Linked DNA regions of Drosophila melanogaster. Changing the gene in region 1 together with any one later gene gives a genetic interaction. Each region holds a gene or a part of one and is shown in the gene's direction. Other genes may lie near its edges. The genes, in order: lwr, mei-218, bchs and velo.

Region 1 (4,266 bases):
TCAGCCCGGAAGCTGCATTAACATGTTTCCCGTAATTCCCACTCCCTGCAGTCAACGGGCGAGAAGGCGGACACGATGACCAAGAAAGACGCCATGTACTTCCCGCTGATCGCGTCGGCAGCCCTCTTCGGGCTGTACCTGTTCTTCAAGATCTTCCAGAAGGTGCACATCAACTACCTGCTCACCGGCTACTTCTTCGTGCTGGGAGTTATTGCTCTGGCGCACCTGCTCAGTCCGGTGATCAACTCGCTGATGCCCGCCGCCGTGCCGAAGGTGCCCTTCCACATCCTGTTCACTAAGGGGGAGGGCAAGCACAAGGAAGACATCGTTAACTACAAGTTCTCCACGCACGACATTGTCTGCCTGGTGATCTCCTCGGCGATCGGAGTGTGGTACCTGCTCAAGAAGCACTGGATCGCCAACAATCTGTTCGGTCTGGCCTTCGCCATCAACGGCGTGGAGATGCTGCACCTGAACAACTTCGTCACGGGCGTCATCTTGCTGAGCGGCCTGTTCTTCTACGACATCTTCTGGGTATTCGGCACCAACGTGATGGTCACCGTGGCCAAGAGCTTCGAGGCGCCCATCAAGCTAGTGTTCCCCCAGGACCTGATCGAGAACGGCCTGAACGCCTCGAACTTCGCAATGCTGGGACTAGGCGACATCGTTATTCCGGGCATCTTCATCGCTCTGCTGCTGCGCTTCGACGACAGCAAGAAGCGCAAGACGCGCATCTACTTCTACTCCACGCTGATTGCCTACTTCCTTGGCCTGCTGGCCACCATCTTCGTGATGCATGTGTTCAAGCATGCGCAGCCGGCTCTGCTCTACCTGGTGCCAGCCTGCATGGGCACGCCCCTCCTGGTGGCCCTCATCCGCGGCGAGCTGAAGGTGCTCTTTGCGTAAGTGTGGACTGCGCTGGGCGCTCGACTTGAAACTAAACTAACTCATTCTCGCCCCCACTGCAGCTATGAAGATCATCCCGAGGAGAAGCCCGAAAAGAAGGAGAAGAAGGAGAAGGACGAGGGCGTCAGCTCGTCCGGCAGCAAAAAGAAGGAGTCGAAAAAGGGCAAGTAGAGCCGGGAGGACGCAACATCCGAACAACATCCCCACTCGTTCCATCGTAAATGTCTTCTGCAGCTAGCCAAGCTCCCTTTCGTTTCGATATGGCTTCTCCATCTACCGCAGTCCATAGCTCATATGGACTAACACCGCTACAAAAGACGATTCACTTACTGAGTTAGTTATGTACGTTCCTTGGCCAGGCACAACAATCTTATTTAGTTCGGTTAGGTTACAATTGTAGAAAATGTTCCCTCGACTTTTTTACCGCAATCAATTTAAATATGTATTTCAAATATTTCTGTGGCTCCGCACAGGAGGCTTATATGTTTAAGAACAGTTTAGATACAAATATATTCCAATTTTTGTAAACAGTGCAATTTTGACTACGAATTCTACATTGCATTTCTTAAAACTAATGCAGTAATTTGTGTAAACAGTAATGCGAATAAATTTTAATTCTAACGTTTAATTAAACTAGTTTTGTATTGAGTAGAGGGTTTTTAGGAATGTAACGGCTTAAGAGAAAAACCTAATACATTTTAAGTTGAGCTTACCAAAATCCAAAGAATTTTTAAATTTAAAACATAATACAAAAGTGCTTTGAAAAAGTCAGTATTTTAATACCACTGTTTATCCACGGCCACACTAAATATCGATAACCGCATAGTGAGACCCTTTGTGTAGAAAAACTTATACCTTTAGCGAGCACAAGCGTTCATTCCTGAAAAATTGCGGTAAAAATTGCGAAAAGCGCGAGTTCCCCCCGCGATTGCAAATAATTAATTTGCTTGGAACCACTGGAGACGCAAGGACGAACAGAGAGGTAGGTGCTCTTGCACTTAGCGCGCCAAAAGGCGACAAAGCCCCTCGTAGGCCACTTACCCACACACACACATTCGCAGACAGACGCGCGTGCAAAAAAGGCCAAGTGGGACTGCTAGCGGAAATCCAGGACTCGAGGACACGTTCGGGCGGCAGTAGAGAAGCGAGCAAGCAGCGACGACCATGTCCGGCATTGCTATTACACGATTGGGGGAGGAGCGCAAGGCCTGGCGCAAGGATCACCCATTCGGGTTCGTCGCACGACCCGCCAAGAACCCTGACGGCACCCTCAACCTGATGATCTGGGAGTGCGCCATTCCCGGCAAGAAGTCCACCCCCTGGGAGGGCGGGCTCTACAAGCTGCGCATGATCTTCAAGGACGACTACCCCACCTCGCCGCCCAAGTGCAAGTTCGAACCGCCGCTGTTCCACCCGAACGTCTATCCCTCGGGCACTGTTTGCCTGTCGCTGCTGGACGAGGAGAAGGACTGGCGCCCCGCCATCACCATCAAGCAAATCCTGCTGGGCATCCAGGACCTGCTCAACGAGCCGAACATCAAGGACCCAGCCCAGGCGGAGGCCTACACCATCTACTGCCAGAACCGACTGGAGTACGAGAAGCGCGTGCGTGCCCAGGCCCGCGCCATGGCGGCCACTGAGTAGTCGGGCTCCTGCCAACCACCTTTACCACATAGACATTAACAAATACACACATCTAGCCGGTAAGCGTTTGTTTGGAATGCTCTCCACGTCTACTTACTTTTAAAGAATCGACTAATTTTGGATAGCCCCCGCGGCCCGAAGCATCTAATTTTTTAATGTTCTGCACTTGCTTAATTACCAGCATGTACCATCTGAATAAATACAAATAAGTCCTGTAATTTTTCGATGAGGCCCAAAGTGGCCACGTGGCACCCAGAATTCGACGCTCTTTTCAGCTTCCATTCTGGGTGCAGGTGCCGATTATTCTACGGGCTATTTTGTATCGCGAGTACTACGTACAAACCTATGTAATTTCAATAAAAATTTATTAGTTGTAAAAGCTTATGCATTTTAAAGCGGAAAGGATTTCCCAGCAAATGTGCAGTCGAGCACTTGTTGGTCGTCAGTAGCCGTACAGCTGGATTTAGTGCTTGAATTATTCCATATAAAGTTCTTCCTTTTGCTTATTATTTAAGTAACATGACTATTTTTAAATTTAAGCATTTTATTTAAAAACTTGTTCAGTCCATTTTTACCTTTATATTTTATTTGATTTTTAGGCATTTGAAGCTGGTCACATTTCCCAACTATTTCAGCTGATCTGGCAAGTCCGCCAACATTACTATGCATAATTTTTGGCTGATCTGGTAGCATTCGCTGCTGATATAGCAATGCTTCCAGCTAACGGTTCATTTCCAACGAGGCCGCCATATTGAAAAATGCCCAGTTAAAACACCTACTGAGATTTGTGTTCGCCTGGTACTTCAGTCTGGGGAATCCGGCATACTGACAGCTGAATTTATTATTTTTCCCGAGGATGCTCATATATTTCGAACTGAATTACCAGGGAAGCATAAGCGTGGAAAGGTGTTTTTAAAACAACCGCCAGGATTCCCAAAGTCTTGGTTTTGGTGGGCATGCTCTATTCTGAGTACCAGGCGAACAGAACTTCTAGTAGGCTACCAACGATCAGCTGATCTATCTGATGCCTGGTCTAATCTAACGGTTCTTTTATTAGGGATGCCACAATATTTTTCTATTGATCCGGTAATATGTCCGATGTTTGACAATATTTTAATCAATCTGGCAACTATGTCGTCATAACATTTTTCGCTAATCTGGCAGCACTCAAATCGTTCGTTGAATTCAAAAATGTAAAATGTCGTTTAGTTACTAATTTCACTATATTTTATATTGAATAAATTAATTACTTTTATTGTCGCACACACTTAATAAATAATGTACTCATTTAAATTACACAGTTAGAATTGCTCGCTTTATGGGGAACAGCGAGTAATTTACATTATAGTATTGGATCTACATTGGAATACTTCGCCTCCTTCTACTCCGCAGACCATTGCAAACTTGTAGTTTCTCGCCCTCAATTTAATTTCTGTCTAAGTGGTAAGCTTTGGCATGCATTATATGTCATGGTTCCCACTTAATGGGTATGCGCCTAAATTAATGTACCTAAGTATCTATGTGTTATTCCTTTAGGTGTACTGTATATGTACGGGAGTACGATGTATATATCTACTTCTATCGATCGGTAAGTCGAAGGAGTCAGTCCCCAAATGGAGTTGGAAGTGGAGGGCAGCGACGGGAGATTTTCCGGGAATACTGTCGTCGATGGTTGGTTGCGGTTTGGATAGTGTACATTTTTAAAGGAGGCTAGGA
Region 2 (7,711 bases), on another chromosome or scaffold:
GTGAGGCTGCCTTCAGGAACATCAAGACCATCGCCGAGTGCCTGGCTGATGAGCTGATCAACGCTGCTAAGGTGGGTAAATTGGGCTTGTGGCGAGATCAAAGTGGGAATGGGGTGGTCTACTCTAATGCTTGGCATTGTACTACCAAAATGCCTGGCCTCGCTTGTAGACCAGATCGAGAACCACGTTCGGCACTCGGATTAACCCAAGAATTGAGCTTCGAAATAGCTCTTTTCTTCCTTCTAGTGACACAGCTAGTCATTTCAACTAGTCCAATCTAATTCTGCATCATGGTTTATTTATGTAGTCTCGCTTTTGGACCAGATCAAACTCCAAATCTCTTATTATCCTTGTGCTAGTGACCACTTAACTGTCCTATGCACACGAGAAACGTAAAAGAACACTTTTATGAATTAGCATTTAGGAACTGATTCGATTAGGATAGCGGGGGTCCAATCTAATTCTGCATAGTGGTTTAATTATGTAGTCTCGCTTTTGGACCAGAACAATCACCATCCTTTATTATCCTTGTGCTTGTGACAATATCAGTCTAATGCACACGAGAAACGTAAAAGAACATTAGCAAACTATTTAAGAGTTGGTATATAGAGCTTAATAATAGGTCCAATCTAATTCTGCATGGTGGTTTAATTATGTAGTCTCGCTTTTGGACCAGATTAATTTCCATCCTTTATTATCCTTGTGCTTGTAATATTGCTTAGTTCAATGCACATGAGAAACGTAAAGGAACACTAGCTTTAAATAAGTTAGGGACTTGTTTTTTTATATTTATTTATTTAGAAGCGATGAATCCATACAATGCAGTAACAGTAACATAACAGCGCAATTAACATATAAAAGATCTAGAAAAACATTGATAGCCAATACTAATAACTTGTGTTTAAATGTATTTCCAGGGATCTTCCAACTCGTACGCCATCAAGAAGAAGGATGAGTTGGAGCGTGTCGCCAAGTCCAACCGTTAAGGAGACATCATCACCAGCAAAAACAAACTTCTGTCTGTTTTTTTTTATACAAATAACGTGTGTACACTGAGAAATGATACACTAAAACTAAAATAAACAACAAGATGAAAAATTCACTTCAGACCATTCTTTTTTTATAGTTTTTAGTTTATAATAAACTTGGTTGTCAGAGAAGAACGGATATTTTAGCTATTTTCTATCGGGCTGCTGGTGTCAGAAATATGTGAGGTTAAGCGTGAGTAAAACGTGAAATTGTCTTGCTTGGAATAGCTAAAAATATTGAAATGAAATTTAGCTAAAAAATTAAAGTAAATTACATGGTTTAAACAAATTGAAACTTTAAAAAGTTTTTTTTATCGATATTGATACAATTTCTTTCATAGATATTTCTCTAACTACTCACGATAGATCACTAAAATACGGTTTTTTTAGTGTATAAAATCTATAGATAGTTGCGATACTCCATCGATCTGGCATCACTTTTCTAAAATAAATGTATTGGAAAGCTGGCAACAGTTTACAATACTCCGATTGTTTTAAGCCCTTAAATTCTACATTTATATATTCTATTCTTCGCTTTTGAAGAACTCTATGCCAAAGCAACAAAAGATCCATTTATTGTAGGAGGCTAGTCATTAGTCATTTAACGACATTTAAAATCTAAGTCACACATTACCCGATCGAAAAACTTCAGTATCGATTTAAATCAGGGCTCGATAGGTACACTTCATATCGCAATCGGTTTTAATTCCAATTTTTCCTTAGTCAAACACTTCATTTTAAAATTCTTTGGTAGTAGGTCGGATTGAAATAAGTTCACATTTCTGGATTAGTGTATAATGTTCACAGTGGATGCAAGCGAAGGATCATCAGTTGTAAACGAGACTCCATTAAAAAGCCAGTAAGTGCACGGTAATCCTGGTTAAAAAACAGGGCGCATTTATTTTCGCAGGCTCCTAAAGACATAAAACACGAAATGCTAATATACAATACAGATTCCACGATCAGAAGTTGGTTGAGCACTTTTGCCGGCAGACGCAGCTGCTCAAGCTGGTCCAGGTCTCCTCTGGCCGCTTTGTGGCGAACTATATGAGCTCCCGGCGGCCAGAGGACCTGCTGGCCCCCATCCAGCTGCGCCTGGACTTCGAATACCGGCAACTACTCGATATCTCACCGCAACTACTGCAGCTCATCGTCGAGGAACCGCTGCAGTTTCAAGAAGCGGTCCGCTACTCGGTTTATGGCTTGATCCGCTCACATCTCAAGGACGCTGGCCTGAAGCCCATCGATATCAACCAGCTGCACGCCCACTGGCGCCTGGTGGGACTGCCCTTTACGCCGGGCCTGCAGTTCGAGCCGCGGGACCAGTTGACCCGGCTGGGCTTGTCCCAGATCCGGGGCATCCTAGCCGCTTTCACGCCGCAAGAAACACTGGTGTCAGTTTTACAGTTTGTACATGTCCTGGCAGAGAATTGCAATGTTCCCCTAGTTTGCTTTGGTGTGCTTTTTCCACATTTTTCTTATTCGATTTGGTTATGTTTGGGTACTATGTATCCTGTCATGCCTGATTAATTATAGTTATAGTTCTTAACTAACCAAGCTAGCCAAGCTGGTTTACCCTTTTTGGTTTAGTTCAAGAGGGTTTTAAGCTTAGTCTCTTAAGTGTAAATACCAACCTACAAAAGAAGTATATCTATATCCCATTAACTTTCTATGAATGTTCATTGTTGTTAAAGTTAAAAAAGCATGGATCGTATTATCGTTATTTTTTATTTAAGTGGGTTAATGGTATTTATTATTTGTCTATTGCATGTATTATTTTCTTATGCTTTAGGCAATATCTGTTTCTAAACATATTAATTATAAAACACACAGCTGCTCTGCTAGGGTGTACCAATCTTTGATAATATGTGTAATTTATATCCTGATATTCCATTGTAGCCTACAATCGATCTGGTACTGCGGCAGTGGCTGTATGCGAAATGCCATACAGACCAGCTCAACAGATGGTAGGTCCCATAGGCTAGGAACATAAAGAAACAACGTGCACTTTATCCAAATTGTGGCACAGCCAACAACCTCTAACTAACAACCTCTAACCTCTAGCCATACTCACAACCCTCGGAACCCTGTCTAACAAAATGTTATCTAACCCAGCATTCCTTGTTCACGAGATCCTGTGCCAGCTCCATTGCTAATCCATCTTCTTGATATCTTTCAGCACCCTTTTGTTCGAGCTGCTCGCGGCCCATGAGTGAATACCAAAAGCTGCGCGTCACGGAAACCTATCGTATCTTGGCTGTCTTGCCTATTTCGGCAGTTCAGACACCTCGTGTCACCAATTGCCTTCATCGCCCAAAATTAGTTCGCCTTAGAGGTAAGTGAATCTGGTATTCAGGACATCATAAACACGTGAAATTAAATATGCCTGGTAAACTAGGACATACTCATTTGGATGTCACTATCATGAATAATCATAATATTAACAACATTTCTTAGCCCACGCCCACGACTGCGAATTAAAGTTGGGTGCTAGCTACCTAATCACTGGATACTTTGCGAGCTCAGCCAGCACATATCAACTGGAAGCATGTCATCTACGAATAAACTAGAGAAAAAGGACCCTCGTAGGCACATTCCCCTCCAGCTTAATGTTTTCTTGCGCAACGATGACGATGGTGAAGTTCGTGAAGTTACTCAAAATGCCAACACAAGCTCCATAGGGTAGAATATTCTATTTACACCATTATAATAAGCAAATATATTAATGTATCCCCCAATGCCCAGCACCATACCATCGAATGGCCTGGTCGAAAGCGATGTGACGCCTATTATGACTCCCACACCGAAGGCCGGTGTCTACAAACCAAATGTTAACGTCTGGCGCTTATCTAAAGAAGTCACTAAGCCTGATCGTAGCTTTGTTGTGAGTGCCGAAGAGTATCCTGATTTGGGCCAGCGCCCGAAGAGATTCAAACAACGAACGCCGCGGGTGCGTAATCAAGATGACGGCGGCACTGTTTCGTGCCTTGCCAGTCGTTTTAGTCGCGTAAAAGATCCGCCTGTGCTGGGTAACTTTTTGCCGGATTTCATGCTTCCGAAATCGAGCAACAGCAATCATCAATCGGTGACCACTTGGCTGTCGTCAGTACGTCCTAGCGACAGCCAAAAGTCTTTAAGCGACCAGGCACGTTGCTCTTCTTCGACCAATATAACACTGCTGAGTAAAGATTCAGTACAGCCGCTGACGCCAAAAAGTTCTGCCCAGTCCTCTCCGGGTGAGAAGAATATCCAACAGGAGCAGAATACTCCAGCTAAATCCCAACAGGAGGAGACAAGTCCGGCTAATTCTGTCGAGCATCAGCAGAAAACACCTAACTCTCCAAAGGAGCAGCAGAAGAGTTCTGTCGGTTTTACTAACATGCAGCAGATGGCTTCCGCCAATTCTTTACAGCAGCAAAACAGTTCTGCCAGTTCCTTACAGCAGCAGAATAGTTCGGTCCATTCCTTACAGAAGCGGAAGAGTTGGGTCAATTCTTCACAGCAGCAGAGGAGTTCGGTCAATTTCATACAGAAGCAAAGGAGTTGGGTCAATTCCTCGCATCATCAGAAGAGTTCTGCCAGTTCTTTACAGCAGAAGAGTTCTGAAAATTCTCCCAGCAAATTCCAACAGCAGCAACAGAAGAGTCCTGCCAATAATGAAAGGAGCCAAAACAATCAGAAGTCTCCTGGCATTCAGCACTCTTGGAAACAACAACAGCAGCAGAAGCCAAAGATTCTTCAGAATTGTCCGAAAACTTCTGTTCAGCAGCAGATGAACCCTGTTAATCATACTCAGTCGCAATCAGAGAGACCTACCGAGCTCATTTACTTGCACTCAAGGAGCCCTGCGAAGAGAGCTTCAGTTACAAACAATTCTTCGGCACCAATCCGCATTGCGCCCAGACAGCAGACCACTCAATCTTCGGGTCCCAGTGTTGTCCACAATGAGGACGAGGATGTTATGCCGCCGACGCCTAATCAAAGTGAGAGAAGGCAGAGGAGATTCCCACGTCGCAATCACAACCCCCGGATGGTGCGCAGTCTGCAGGCGGTAAGTCGAGAGTTTACAGAGTCCTTGCTTGAGGGATCTTCAGGGAAAACGCCGGAAAAAGAGGTGGTGCCGTACCAGCAACAGGAGAAACCGCGCCAGGTGAAAAGCTCACCAGAAATCCATGCGAGCAGCCACATGCGAAAATTGGCTATGGGCAGCGTTTTGAACTCAAATGCTAAGGAGTTCCACCCTACCGGAGAATCCCATCTAACCCACAAAGTGTCTAGATTGAGCGTAAGTTACTGCACCGTAAGTTTAATCCTCATTAGATAACCCTTTCTATATTGGACAATTACAGCAAAGACGCTGTCGACAGCGTTTTACGCGCTCTTTGCACGCGAAAAAAAATAACCCACGCGAGCAACTACCAAATCCTGACAGCGCCCCAGAACCAATACTCGAATACACCTCTGAGATAGATGATCAGCCATGTCCACCACGACAGACAGTCGACACACCGATCGAAGCCATTGTACCACCGGCAATGATCGAGGTGAGTGCCACCGGCAATCTGCCGCCCGTGTTCTATTTTGATCAGCAGTCGGGAATTATATGGAGCAACTCGTCACCACAAATTCCGGTTGAAATCCAAAGCAACAGTGTCAGCCAGTCGGTTTTTCGGCTAGCCAGTCTCCCGTGTACAGGGGTTGGCACCACCAATATGGATATATTTACCAGTTCGCCACCCCCCATCCAGCATATGAGCTCCAGCCGCCTCCCATCCAGCATTTCCGGGCCCACCCAGTTATCGCATACTCTCAGTTCGCCGCCGGTGGAGAACCAGCACCAGCAACACTTGTGGGAATCATGCATCCACCAGGACGAGGACCTAATGTACAGCAGGCCTCTGTTGGATATGGATCAGGAGGAAACCCAGCCGGAGCAACAGGACCAGGAATGGCAGTGGGAGTCGGAGATAGAGCCCCCGAGTTTCCAGTCGGAGAACCAGGTCGTCGCCGACGAACACGGCGAGGAAAACGCGTACCTCGCTAAGGACGCAGGACCACCACTCGAGCGTCATATGATATTTCGAGCCCCATCACAGCACGGCCAAGAATATCCCAAGCCGGATCTAAACTGCGTGCCGTCCAGCATCAAGAAACTACATCACTTGATCTCATCGCAGTATTCTGACTACTCCTTTGTCTACGCCCTAAGTGCTCAGATCAGTCAGGACTGTGTGCCTATGGATTGCTTTGTGTACCTGAAGATGATACTGCTGGCCAGTATCGTTTCAATCGAATCTGATGAGGTGCGGGCTCCAATTTCGCTATGCATAATCGCCACCGACAGCCTGATGGCCAACCGTCTACTTAACAAAGTGGGCCAACTGGCACCACGTTTCCTGGGACCCCACGAATACGGACTGCAGCCCACTTTCAATGCCCTGCCCACGCGCTTTAATTGGATAGTGGCCAGTCCTTTACTATTGGCACAACAGGGAGTTTACTACGCCGGCGATTGGAATCGTCTGTCCAAGGATCAGGGATGCCAGCTGGAAAAGTGCATCGAAAATGGAGCGGTCCCAGTTCCGCAGTTGCACATCGATCAGCCCTTAAAGGCAGCCGTTTGGACTTACTGGCAGCCGAACAACTCCACCAATCAAACACTGGCCCTCGCCAAACTGTGCCCGTAAGGTGGACAAAACTAGAAATTACGCTTGTATATTAAGTTAACCTAATTTGCAGAATCTTCGGGCTGCCAATTTATATGGGTGCTCAGGCCAGCAATAGTCTCTGGAACTCTATAATTCAGAAGCACAACGCTGAGGGTCAAATTGTAGTCAACGATGGCTTGAGCATTCCCGAGGACGATATGCGCATGCTTATACATCTGTTGCATCAGCGCAAGACCACCTTAACCGATGGCGCTCAGCATATGCTGCAAAAGTATTATGTGATCTCCAGGAAAGAGCGACCGAGTAAGTCTAATTCCATTAAGCAGCAAATCGTCTTCCTAGCTTCAAAGCGAAGGGTCGTGTCAGTACGGCTTTATGAAACACAGATCAACAAACACAACAACAATCACAATTCAAACAGATCTCATCCAAACTGACTTTAGTAATGTTTCGCATTTAGCATGTTTCGAGAACAATTAACAGAGTCAAATTGTTAATTATTTTCGAAACTTGAAATACTATTTACAACTTTTGTTACTATTTTGTGCTCCTCTAATCGATGGCAACTAACGTTTTCCATCCCGCTCATTTCCAGATGTCTTCTCTAGCAAGACCTATATAGTGCTGAAGCAATTAGCTGAGTGCTTTGCCAAGCTGGCGCTGCGGCTGGAGGTCCTTGAATCGGACGTTTGTGTGGCCATCTTTCACTGCGAGCATTTCGTGCAGGGCATTTTCGGGGCCAAAGAAAACCAGGCACCGCCGGCGGTCTTCAATTTCAATGTGATCTCCTGCATCGATCCGTACATGAACAAGTTTACACGCTGGTTACTTCAGTATCTGAATAGCTACGAGGACGAGGAGCTGGGGATGCACGCGGATAAGAGGCGGCGCACAGATAGCTGGGACATGCCCTAAACGCCTGGCATAGATCCCTATAGACCAACTTGGCATTGATTTGGCATTACTCGTAGATTTATAACCATCGCACACTGGACCAATTTTGAATACCTTTTG
Region 3 (4,902 bases), 5.4 Mb from region 1:
AAGCCCCGGCAACCTGAAGCATCTTCTTGCTCGATTGGGACTCGCTCCGCCAAAGGATGAATATTCATGTCTTACGGGAATGTGGAGGCCGGAATATCCTTGGCCGCCGCCCGGGGTCTTGCCAATTTCGATACGCAAATGTTTCGCTCATTGTCAACAACAGCGTCGTGATGAAGTGGAGGACTCTGGGGCGAAAAATAAAAGTTATTCGTTCCGACAGAAAGGGGGAAGCCCCGCCTAATGAGTCCCCCATGAATGCTGTGCAAATGATTTTTGGGGTTACACTTTTAAATTTTCCGGAAACGCCTCGAGCAGCATATGCGGTCCTCGGAAAATTCACTTAAAAATCCACTTAAAATTTTGCTGGGTATTGCACTTCACCTTTAAAGGAAGATTAAGCGGATGAAATAGGCTGATGTCACTTTACTCATAAGAGTTTGTATGTAAATAGAATGTTCGCGCCAACTTCACGAGTTTTTTTTTTTAGTGCGCTATCAATCTACCGAATATCATTTTACTGGTCTACCCCTTCTTGGCACCTGAGATATTGTTCCCGTTTTTGTCAGTTGTAGGGGGCCTCTATTTATAACTGAAACGGAAAAATCCATTAGAATATTGCCGCAGACAAAGGACTTTCCCCACAACCCTGCCCCACAAATCGCGGTGGGGGGTTTGTCGGGCGGGAAAGTGCGCAAAGTACCTGTCTGGGTGGGAAGATATAATACCTGGAGAAGTGCCAATCCCAAACGCTTTCCCACATAAACAAGCATTAGGGAACTCCGAGCTTAGCTTATGTGGCTGGCTGGCTAGCTGGAAAACTGAAGAGGACTGTGGGAGCGGGTGGATACGGGCAGTCACGCAAGGGGTCAGTGGGCGTGGCGGGGCCAACGCCCAAAGGTAAACTATTTTTGGGGAGCGAGGCAGTTGGTCATGGGGATAACTACTAACTAAATATTTAGCACGACACGCCTTTATTCTTTTGCACCCCTAATTGATTCAAAAACGAAATTTTATCCGCATTAAAATGGGGAGACACAGCGAATTGGTTTCGGGTACAGGGAAATTAGATCAGAAGGACGTGCGTGGCATTTAATGGCCTTACCAATCAATCAATCCCAATAAACTTACAGCATTCTCTGCCACAAATGAGTCAGCAAATAGCATCATTATCAACGCATGAAGTTCGCCATCGGGTGTTCGTTCAATCAATATGCAAATAAATTTGTTGTCATATCCGACAGCTATCTGTTGATGCTGACAATTATAACAACTGTAAGTACAAACACAAATATTAATAACCCCTAGCCAGAATCAATAAAGAATCTCACACTCATGCGAATATTGGGCGAGAGAGAAATTTGGAAATTAATGGCCAATGGCCTAAGAATACCAATTGTTAGCCGAGATGCGAAAGCACTCATATAATATTATTAACAATAATGAACTTAATTATGAGCACACATGAACATTAAGTAAGTGCTAATTAAGTATCAATTTAGATGCTAAGTTTATGAGATAAATCAGTTTAGTTCTATTAAACTGTTGCCATTAGTTTAGTAAGCGATCTAATATATACAATCTGAAGATAAGCACATCGTTGGCGACATACAAAAGATTTTGTATTAAATAAAAATAATAAAATGAAGTAGATTAATACAAATCGGTCTTGTTTATTTGCTTATCAGTACAGTTGAATTTGAAATGCCAAAGCTAGACCGCCGATCATAATTCAAAATGCAGCACTGGCGTTTGGTCTTAATGAGCACTGGCTGCGGTGGTGGAAAATGTGAACAGCTGATACCACTGGCAGCGCTACGCAACACTCGACAGAATAACGAAAAGAGAGTACAGACGAAAAGCTGGAGAAAATTTGGTTCATATTTTCATACGTGAAACAAGATGTAAAACGAGTGCATTTAGGGCCCAAAATAGTGAAAACTCACACGGGAAACACAATGCTAGCGACGGATAGCAAAAGTAAGTGACGGCTGCACGAAATAAGCCGGAAAAGTGCATGTGAAAATTTTCAAATTCGACCTATCTGCTGGTTTGTTCAAGGGTGGGTGGCGGGCAGAGAGGCCGAGTGAGAGTACGCGAGAGAGGAAGAAAAATCAATAAAATTGTCGTGAGGCGCGATTGACTGGAGCAAAACAAAGTGCGACACGAAAGAGAGCGCTAAGCGGACTACGAAAAAGCAACAACAGAGCGGCCGTTAGCTGAACCAAATGCGTTGGCAGAAAAGAGAGGTCAGATAGTCGGTAGTTTCAAAGGGAGTTGGAGTAAACAAACAAGTGCGCAATAAGTAAACCAAGAACAGCTGTCTCGCACAAAATGTAAATATTTCCCGAATATATGGAATAATAACCACTATCGGTTAATCGCTTGCTCGCTATGTAGGCGTACGAATCGAATCGAGTCGGCGACAGAGGCAACGTTCATTCACTCGCGAAAAGTTAATACTCGCACCGAATACAATGATCGCACTTTTCGTGTGATTCACCTCCAGCGGCCGCTAATTAAGGCGGCGGCAGCAGAAATAGAATAGCTGCGAAAACAAGCCATAACGCCAACTGCACTGTGCGCGGTTGTGATTTGGAAGCCACTCAATTGAAAGTGTCAGTGCTGTGCAAATAAATCGCCAAAATATCTCACCTCCAATGTTCAAAAGATACAATATCTACAATAAGCACAGGTTCTATGGAAACATATGTTTAAATGCGAAGCGACACGTTTTGAACTGAAACCTGCATGAAAGTGGGAAAGTTCATTAAACTACAGCAGTAAAAAGTTTCAAAATACTATGAAATATCTTTTTACACCTTTATCGAATAATATATAATCTTTTTAAACGGCATAACATTGTAAACAAGTGAATCACCATTATTAAAACACATGTAGAAAGTGCCACCCCCTTGCAAAAAAATCAATGACATTCCTCATAGTACAGCCATTAGATTAGTCTTATATTTTGTATTAAGTCAACTTAATTTTCTCTCTTTTAGATTAATCTTACCGCAAATCAACAAACACAAAGATGAATGTAATGCGTAAGCTGCGCGGAGCGGCCAGCGCAGGCAGCGTCAGCGGCAGCAGTAGCGGAACCTCGACGGCGAACAACAGTTCACCAGGGAGCAGCAGAACGGATGCTGGTGCACCGACCGCTGCAAATGGACGGAATGCGGAGGAGGCGCTGATGGACGCCCGCGTCCAAGTGAGCCTCACCACGCTAAAGAAGCTATTCAACGAATACACTCATCCGCGGGAGCCGCTGAGCGAACAGGAGCGCGATGACAAGCTCTACGAGATGCTGCCCCTCTTCTGCAAAGTGAGTGAATCAGTCGGTATGGAGGAATAGGCCACTAACTCCCCATTCTTACAGGTCTTCAGCAGCTGTCCGTCAAACGACATGAGCGAAAAGTTCTGGGACGTGGTCGCCTTCTGCCAGCAAGTGTCCCGTCTCATGGTCAGCGAAATCCGCAAGCGCGCCTCCAACCAGAGCACAGAGGCGGCATCCATTGCCATAGTCAAGTTTCTCGAGGTGGAAACCACCGAGGAAACCAGCAGCGGATGGATGCTTTTGGCTACCCTCAATTTGTTGGCCAATGGAGACGTATCTCTCATACAGGTATGTTTCATTTATAAACTGCTATAGTATCTTATGGTAAAAATACATCGACGTAATCAAAACAAAAAATTTCAATAGCTACAATTTTCGTTAGGGAAAGTCGTCATCAAATTCACGAAGTTTTCTCAGTTCCAGGCTTCAAAGAGAATTCGATGTGTGAGTTCGTAGCTTCTTCATTTGTAATATTTGGGTTGGCTGCATCTGGAACTTGTTGTTCCTTTTCTCCCGCATCGCTTGGCTTATGGACCAATTCAGCATTGCTTAAAGTTCTGAGCCGAGAATAGCTAGAGCCCTGTTCTACCAGCAAAATCTCCGATTTCTCCCTTTTCTCAGTGTCCGCCCACATGGAAGATCGCCGGGCTAGCTTCCGATCCATTTGAATGGGTTTCATTGTGGCCTCGCTGTTCTCACTTGACCGAGTTGAAACAAGGCTAACAGTGCTCCTGTCCTCGATTTTGGCCCACAAGCTCGAGGAATCGCTGGAGCCGCGCCAGGCTGAAGCAGACCTGCGCATCTTATTGGCCTGCTCTTCCATGTACACACTGTACTCCGTGTCCACCGGTGTGATATCCGATTCACTGGTGGTTATTGTTGGCGTTGATAGAAAACTCTCGTCACTCTCGATCTGATGCAGCGAAAAGAACTTTTTACGCGCATCCCCAATGAACTGCCACATGCGGACTATAAAGTGCGGCTGCTCCACCTCCGCGTTCGGCCGGAAGTACAGGATCTGAGAATTGGCCAACTTATAGTAGCACCTGCAGCATTTGCATAGAAAGTCGTCCACTGGCTTGGAAAGCACAAATAGCCCGGTTGAACCAGACTCTGTTCCCTCAAAGTACTTACGGCCAGTCGCCTGACGTTTCCAGTCGCCGGGTTCCATGCGCATCAGCAGGTCGAACACGTGGAACATGTGCATCAGGTACATGGTGCCAGTAACCAGCGCAGCGATGCTCTGCTGCTTGCAGTGCGCAAAGTGCGGATGTTCCAGATACTCGATGGTAGAATTGATGAAGGCCAGGTGAGGGTCCAGCATGGCGGTGCGCATTATCAGCACGCCGCAGAAATAGTGCGACAGCACGGCACTCAGTGTGAGCAGGAGCTGGGAGGAGAGCACCGTACTCCTAGCCAATAGCAGTCGGAACGCGCCTAGAGCGGCGAGCGCCGTAAAGGACGAAAATGTGGCACAATATAGGATCACATGAGGAGTACGCTCTGGCCAGTAGGATGAGCCGCGTATGTGGAAAAACATACAAACACTGCCCAGCAACACCTCG
Region 4 (4,769 bases), on another chromosome or scaffold:
CACAACCCCGATCCAAGCTGCCACCGGGTAATCCCACGCTACCAAGTGCTCCTCCGGCATTGGACTTCCCCTCGCTGCCCAACGTTCCCAACGATCTGCCAGATATTCCGGGCGCAGGTGCCGAGAAGAAGAACGACGAGGATGAGATTGATTTCGATGACCTGTCACGTCGCTTCGAGAACCTTAAGAAGCGAAAGTAAAGCTGGCCAGCAGATCACCTTTTAAGTCTACAGTATATTTGTTATAATCTCTGTCCTGTTCTACATTAATAATCACGTATATGTGTAAGGAACTATTGATCATTTTGTTTTTTCGATTAAGTAGTTAATCAGACTTCAAAAATGTATAATCTGAATTGAAAGATGGTTGACCTATTGCTTTTCATATTCGCAATCTTGATTCATCTAAAAACAGCCTAAAGATTAAAATACTAACAGATTAAATTCTGTGTACTTATCAGCTTTATGTTTCACATAAATATCAACAAGATTACAAAGAAAAACAAAAAATTTTAAAGGGATTGTATTGCCTAGAAGAGTTCCTCGCTCTCCACCACTTCCTTCAGCTCGAGCAGCTCCAGCAGTCCCTTACCCTTCGTTTCGTTCCTTACCAGCTCATCAATGACACGATATTGGCCAGGATCTATGAGCAAGGTTAAGTGCAAGGTGGCCTCGTCCCATTCCTCGTGCTCCACTGCGTTGGCCAACTTGACCACCGATTCCTTGAGCTTGCCACCGCCCTCCTTTCCAGCAAAGCTAACGCGCAGCTTCATGCGCGACCTCTCGATGGGCATATGGTCCTTGAGAATCTTGATGGCCTCCAGTGTGTTCTGCTTGGTGTTCCTGTTCATCTTAACGGAGAAGTGGGCATCCTTCAGGGATTTCTCGATGATGGAGGCGGGATATGGACGACGCGTCTCTGGATTTACACACAACGCAGCCACGGAATTAACTATACTATTTAGTTGCGTGTCCAGACAACTTTGGCGCTCCTTTTCCGACACCTGCAGTTCTCCTTTGCTGAGGATCTCCTTGCAAATCTCAGTCTCGTCTGTTTTATTGAAGGCCTTTTGCAGCTCGTCCTTTTTGGCCGCCTGTCCTTTGGAGACATTGGTGAACACGGTATGGGTTTGCAGGACCTCATCGATGTCCTTTTCGCTAAGCATATACAATAAAGTAATTAGATTTAGGTAAAGCCTATTTCACAATCTGCACGTGTTGCATTTAGCGGCTGTTACCTGTTGCTCCTCCACGAAAGAACCTTATTTTTATAGCAGGCGATCTCAAATCGCTTGCCACCTTTTTTTAGCCTCACAATGGCGACATTTGTGAGGCGTATTTGATTTGTGGGCGTGAATATTTTGGACATTGTTGTTAAAATACAAGCTGCGGAATTAGCGATGTGCAAGTAAACCAAAACACTTTCGATCGAACCAAACGATGAATGGCAAAAAATCAAACATTTATATATCCCGTAGTTGTGAAATCATTGAAATTTCCTTTGATGTACAGTTTGATAAAAAATTTTGTTCACAATATACAAAACTGCATAACAGCTTTCTATTAAAAACATACTTATAATATATATATTTAGATGGATTTTATTTATGTATATTTTTTTTGTTGAAATTTTTTTCACCGCTACCCACAATTTTCCGAGCTATCGAGTTTTTCTACTTATCGACGTTTTACCATCACAACGACGTTGTTGTTGTTCCTTCGCCACTCTTCTTCTTCTTCTTCTTCCTCACCCAATTCGCCAGAGCGCGCAGCAAACAACAAAACACATAGTGCTCAAAACCGCGATATCAACGGTCGCTAAAAATCGTTATCAATCGCCTTTCGCTAAATAACAGCATAATGTGCAACAAAATCATGGAAATCACCGAAACAGCGCGTTCAGTGCGAAAAACTAAAGATTTTAAGACAACTCCAGTGGCTCGACCGTTTAGTGGTCCCTTTAAACTGGCTACATGCCAAACAGAGGGACCTCTAAACATTAGGCGAAGAGGACGGCACAAGGCAGACATCGATAAATCAGCGGCCCAAAGCAACGCTGCAAAATGTTTATGAACAGCTGATGGGCCCGCCAGGGGGCGCTCGCGTTTCGTCATTGCCAGATAAAATAAATATCAAATGCTGCCTTTAATGGTGAACGCCATTTTTATTGCAAGAAAGAAAGCCACGGGTTTCAAGCAAAAACGCGAATAATTAACGTGTGTTTATTGTAAAAAGACAGCGCGATTATGATCTAATCAAAGAACAACTGGATCGAGCCGAGGGCACAGCGATTGGCTCCAAAAAGTTCCCATTCTCGTAAGATTAACGGAGGTGTGTAGGTTGGGAATGCCAACAAAAAAAAAATTATGCTCAAAAAGTGACCTGTAATTGTATAATAAATGTGCCTTAAAAAAGTTAAATATATTGCAAAATTACATAGGAATTAATTTATACAATTGGTCAACCGCATATTGTACAAGTTTCTGCTCGGAAAATGGTAGAAATCACATTTTTCTACTGCGATTTTGTGTGTGTGTTGTTCTTGAGGGCTCTGTAAAAGTCTCAAAAATGCAACGCCTGCAAAAAAGAGCAAAAATTCTCACAAAAGTGACAAAACTTGTTTGCATTCTTATTTAATTTTATACTTTAACACTTATATTCCTTACCGAGGTTATATTAAAATAAATGTGAAGGAATTAACGATGTCCTCATACTGAGACGCAAAAATATAACCTTAAAGAGTACACAAAATGTTTAAGTATCTTAATTATGCTACATACAGTGCAAAGTTTAACCAGTTAACGTTTTCTTTATCTAGGTGCATTGTTGTTGTAATGTAATTTAATTAAAATATATAATACGACTTATAAGAAATTGCATATAATTAAAAAAATATTCCAAAAAGAAAACAAAAAAATGTAATTGAAGAAAAGATCATATTAATTAAAATTTAACAGTACTTTTTGGGCCTAGGGAATTAGTGAAAAAATAGTATATATCTAAAATTCTAACTGATTTTCTACCCCTTCCAGCTGCCTTGAAATGGAGCAGTATATTGTGCCCCTGGAGGAGCCAGTCTACTCTGATTTGCAAGTAGTGCAAGTGCCCCAAGATGAGGTTGGGGTGAGTAGTATCCGAAGCCCTCGGTGAATAGCAAGCTAATTTCTTGTTTCTTTCAGTCCCTGGTCCTACAGGATGACCAGCAGCTGGTGTTCAACGACCAGCAGCAAGTTGTCTACCAGACGACGGCCCCAGCGCAATATCAACAGCCCCAGCAGTCTGCGGCACCCACATACCACATAATCGGTGGCGATGATCTTGCACATCAGCAGCAACAGCACCAACAGCAGCAGCAGCAACAACAACAGCAGCAGCAGCAACAACAACAACCGCAGCAGCAGCACCAACAACAGCAACAACAAGTTGTAATGCATCATCAGCAGCATCAGGTGCAGCAAGTGCAGCAGGTTCACTATCAGCAGCAGCAACAGGAGCCCCAGCAGCAGCAGCAACAACTGCACATGGAGCAACAGCAGCAGCAGCAGCAGCAATATGTGCAGCATCAGCCGCAGCAACCCGCCATCCAGCATACACAGCAGATTTACTACACTTCAGAGCAAGTCCTGCAACCAAATGCCATTGTGCAGCATATGCAGCAGCAGAAGAAGCAGCAGCAAGTGCTGCAGCAACAGCAGCAGCAGCAGCAACAGTATCAACAACACGCACCCGCCTACCAAGTGCAATCGTCTCCCCAAGGGCAAGCCCAATTACTTCAGAGTTCCCAGCAGCAGCATCAGCAAGCGCAGCAGGCACAAACGTTGCAACTGCAGACGTCGCCACCCCAACAGCAACCGCAGCAGCACCAGCAGATCGTCTACCGCATGACCACCACACAGCAGCAACAAAGGCCCTTAGGGGTAAGTTAGGTTCCAAATAGCCCTGTATTTATCTTTCACTTGAAACATATTGATATCGATTTTCCAAATCCTAGATGCTCAACAATACGCACGTGATTGTCCAGCAGCAACCGGTATTGATCCAGGGCCCACAGCATCAGGAGCTGATTATGCGACAGGCCATACATCCGTACAACAATCGTGTAGTTTATGCCACTTCACCGCAACAGCAGCAGCAGCAACAACACGTCATCCAGCAGCACGTACAGCAGCAGCAAGTGCAGCAGCATCAGCAAGTCCAGCAACAACAGCAGATGCAACTGCAGCCCACGACTCAAACAGCCCATTTAGTTCAGGCTCGTGTGGTGCCACAGCAGACCCAAAATGTTGTCTACCAGCAGTTGCAGGTGCAAAAGGTGCAGCCGCAGCAACAGCAGCAGGCTCCACAGCAGCAGCAACCGCAATTGGTGGCTCAGCAGCAGCCGCAGCTAGTGGCCACCTCTGCTGCCGGTGGCACTCAACTAGTACGCGCCTCGTTTAGGAAATCGCCCCGAGGTGGAGCTGTGCTGGCCAGGCCGGGCACACTAATTACCACCAGGCCTACACTTACGCCCACAACAATTGTGCGGCAAGTTCGTCCGCGAGGAGGTGCAGTGCCCGGCGGACTGGTTAGGAATATGCGACCTGCGGGCGTACGACCCACTCGAGCGCAGTTGGTGGTGCAGACTAGCGCCAGCGGCGAGGGACAGACCATGCTAGTGACTCAGGGCCAAATGAAGCACATTACCATCAGCACGAATCTCGGCCAGCCGCAACAACAACAGCAGCAGCAGATGCAGCAACAGCCGCGCCACATCTACCGCACACACATGGT

What was found.
Region 2: of lwr (region 1) and mei-218, changing one suppresses a phenotype caused by changing the other (phenotypic suppression), as found in Drosophila melanogaster (one study listed by BioGRID).
Region 3: of lwr (region 1) and bchs, changing one enhances a phenotype caused by changing the other (phenotypic enhancement), as found in Drosophila melanogaster (one study listed by BioGRID).
Region 4: of lwr (region 1) and velo, changing one suppresses a phenotype caused by changing the other (phenotypic suppression), as found in Drosophila melanogaster (one study listed by BioGRID).

What each region holds. Positions count from the first base shown.
Region 1 is NT_033779.5:540,052-544,317, reverse strand, and holds lwr (lesswright), read left to right. Parts: upstream 1-1,737; 5' UTR 1,738-1,888; intron 1,889-1,938; exon of another isoform or gene 1,939-1,967; 5' UTR 1,968-2,070; coding exon 2,071-2,550; 3' UTR 2,551-2,609; exon of another isoform or gene 2,610-3,081; intron 3,082-3,149; 3' UTR 3,150-3,719; downstream 3,720-4,266. Other genes in the region: Spp (signal peptide peptidase), read left to right, coding at 52-902, 969-1,077.
Region 2 is NC_004354.4:17,136,978-17,144,688, reverse strand, and holds the start of mei-218 (meiotic 218), read left to right. Parts: upstream 1-1,698; 5' UTR 1,699-1,825; coding exon of another isoform or gene 1,826-1,887; 5' UTR 1,888-1,981; coding exon of another isoform or gene 1,982-2,422; 5' UTR 2,423-2,927; coding exon of another isoform or gene 2,928-2,995; intron 2,996-3,094; exon of another isoform or gene 3,095-3,207; coding exon of another isoform or gene 3,208-3,363; intron 3,364-3,485; coding exon of another isoform or gene 3,486-3,576; coding exon 3,577-3,710; intron 3,711-3,773; coding exon 3,774-5,313; intron 5,314-5,377; coding exon 5,378-6,711; intron 6,712-6,767; coding exon 6,768-7,000; intron 7,001-7,292; coding exon 7,293-7,612; 3' UTR 7,613-7,711. Other genes in the region: RpS5a (ribosomal protein S5a), read left to right, coding at 1-71, 918-986; mei-217 (meiotic 217), read left to right, coding at 1,826-1,887, 1,982-2,422, 2,928-2,995, 3,208-3,363, 3,486-3,598.
Region 3 is NT_033779.5:5,905,311-5,910,212, forward strand, and holds the start of bchs (blue cheese), read left to right. Parts: upstream 1-1,858; 5' UTR 1,859-1,977; intron 1,978-3,002; 5' UTR 3,003-3,034; coding exon 3,035-3,325; intron 3,326-3,379; coding exon 3,380-3,625; exon of another isoform or gene 3,626-3,737; coding exon of another isoform or gene 3,738-4,902. Other genes in the region: CG14000 (uncharacterized protein), read right to left, coding at 3,738-4,902.
Region 4 is NT_037436.4:6,749,706-6,754,474, reverse strand, and holds the start of velo (veloren), read left to right. Parts: upstream 1-1,722; 5' UTR 1,723-2,330; intron 2,331-3,031; 5' UTR 3,032-3,041; coding exon 3,042-3,122; intron 3,123-3,178; coding exon 3,179-3,916; intron 3,917-3,990; coding exon 3,991-4,769. Other genes in the region: Ist1, read left to right, coding at 1-200; SBDS ribosome maturation factor, read right to left, coding at 530-1,157, 1,238-1,368.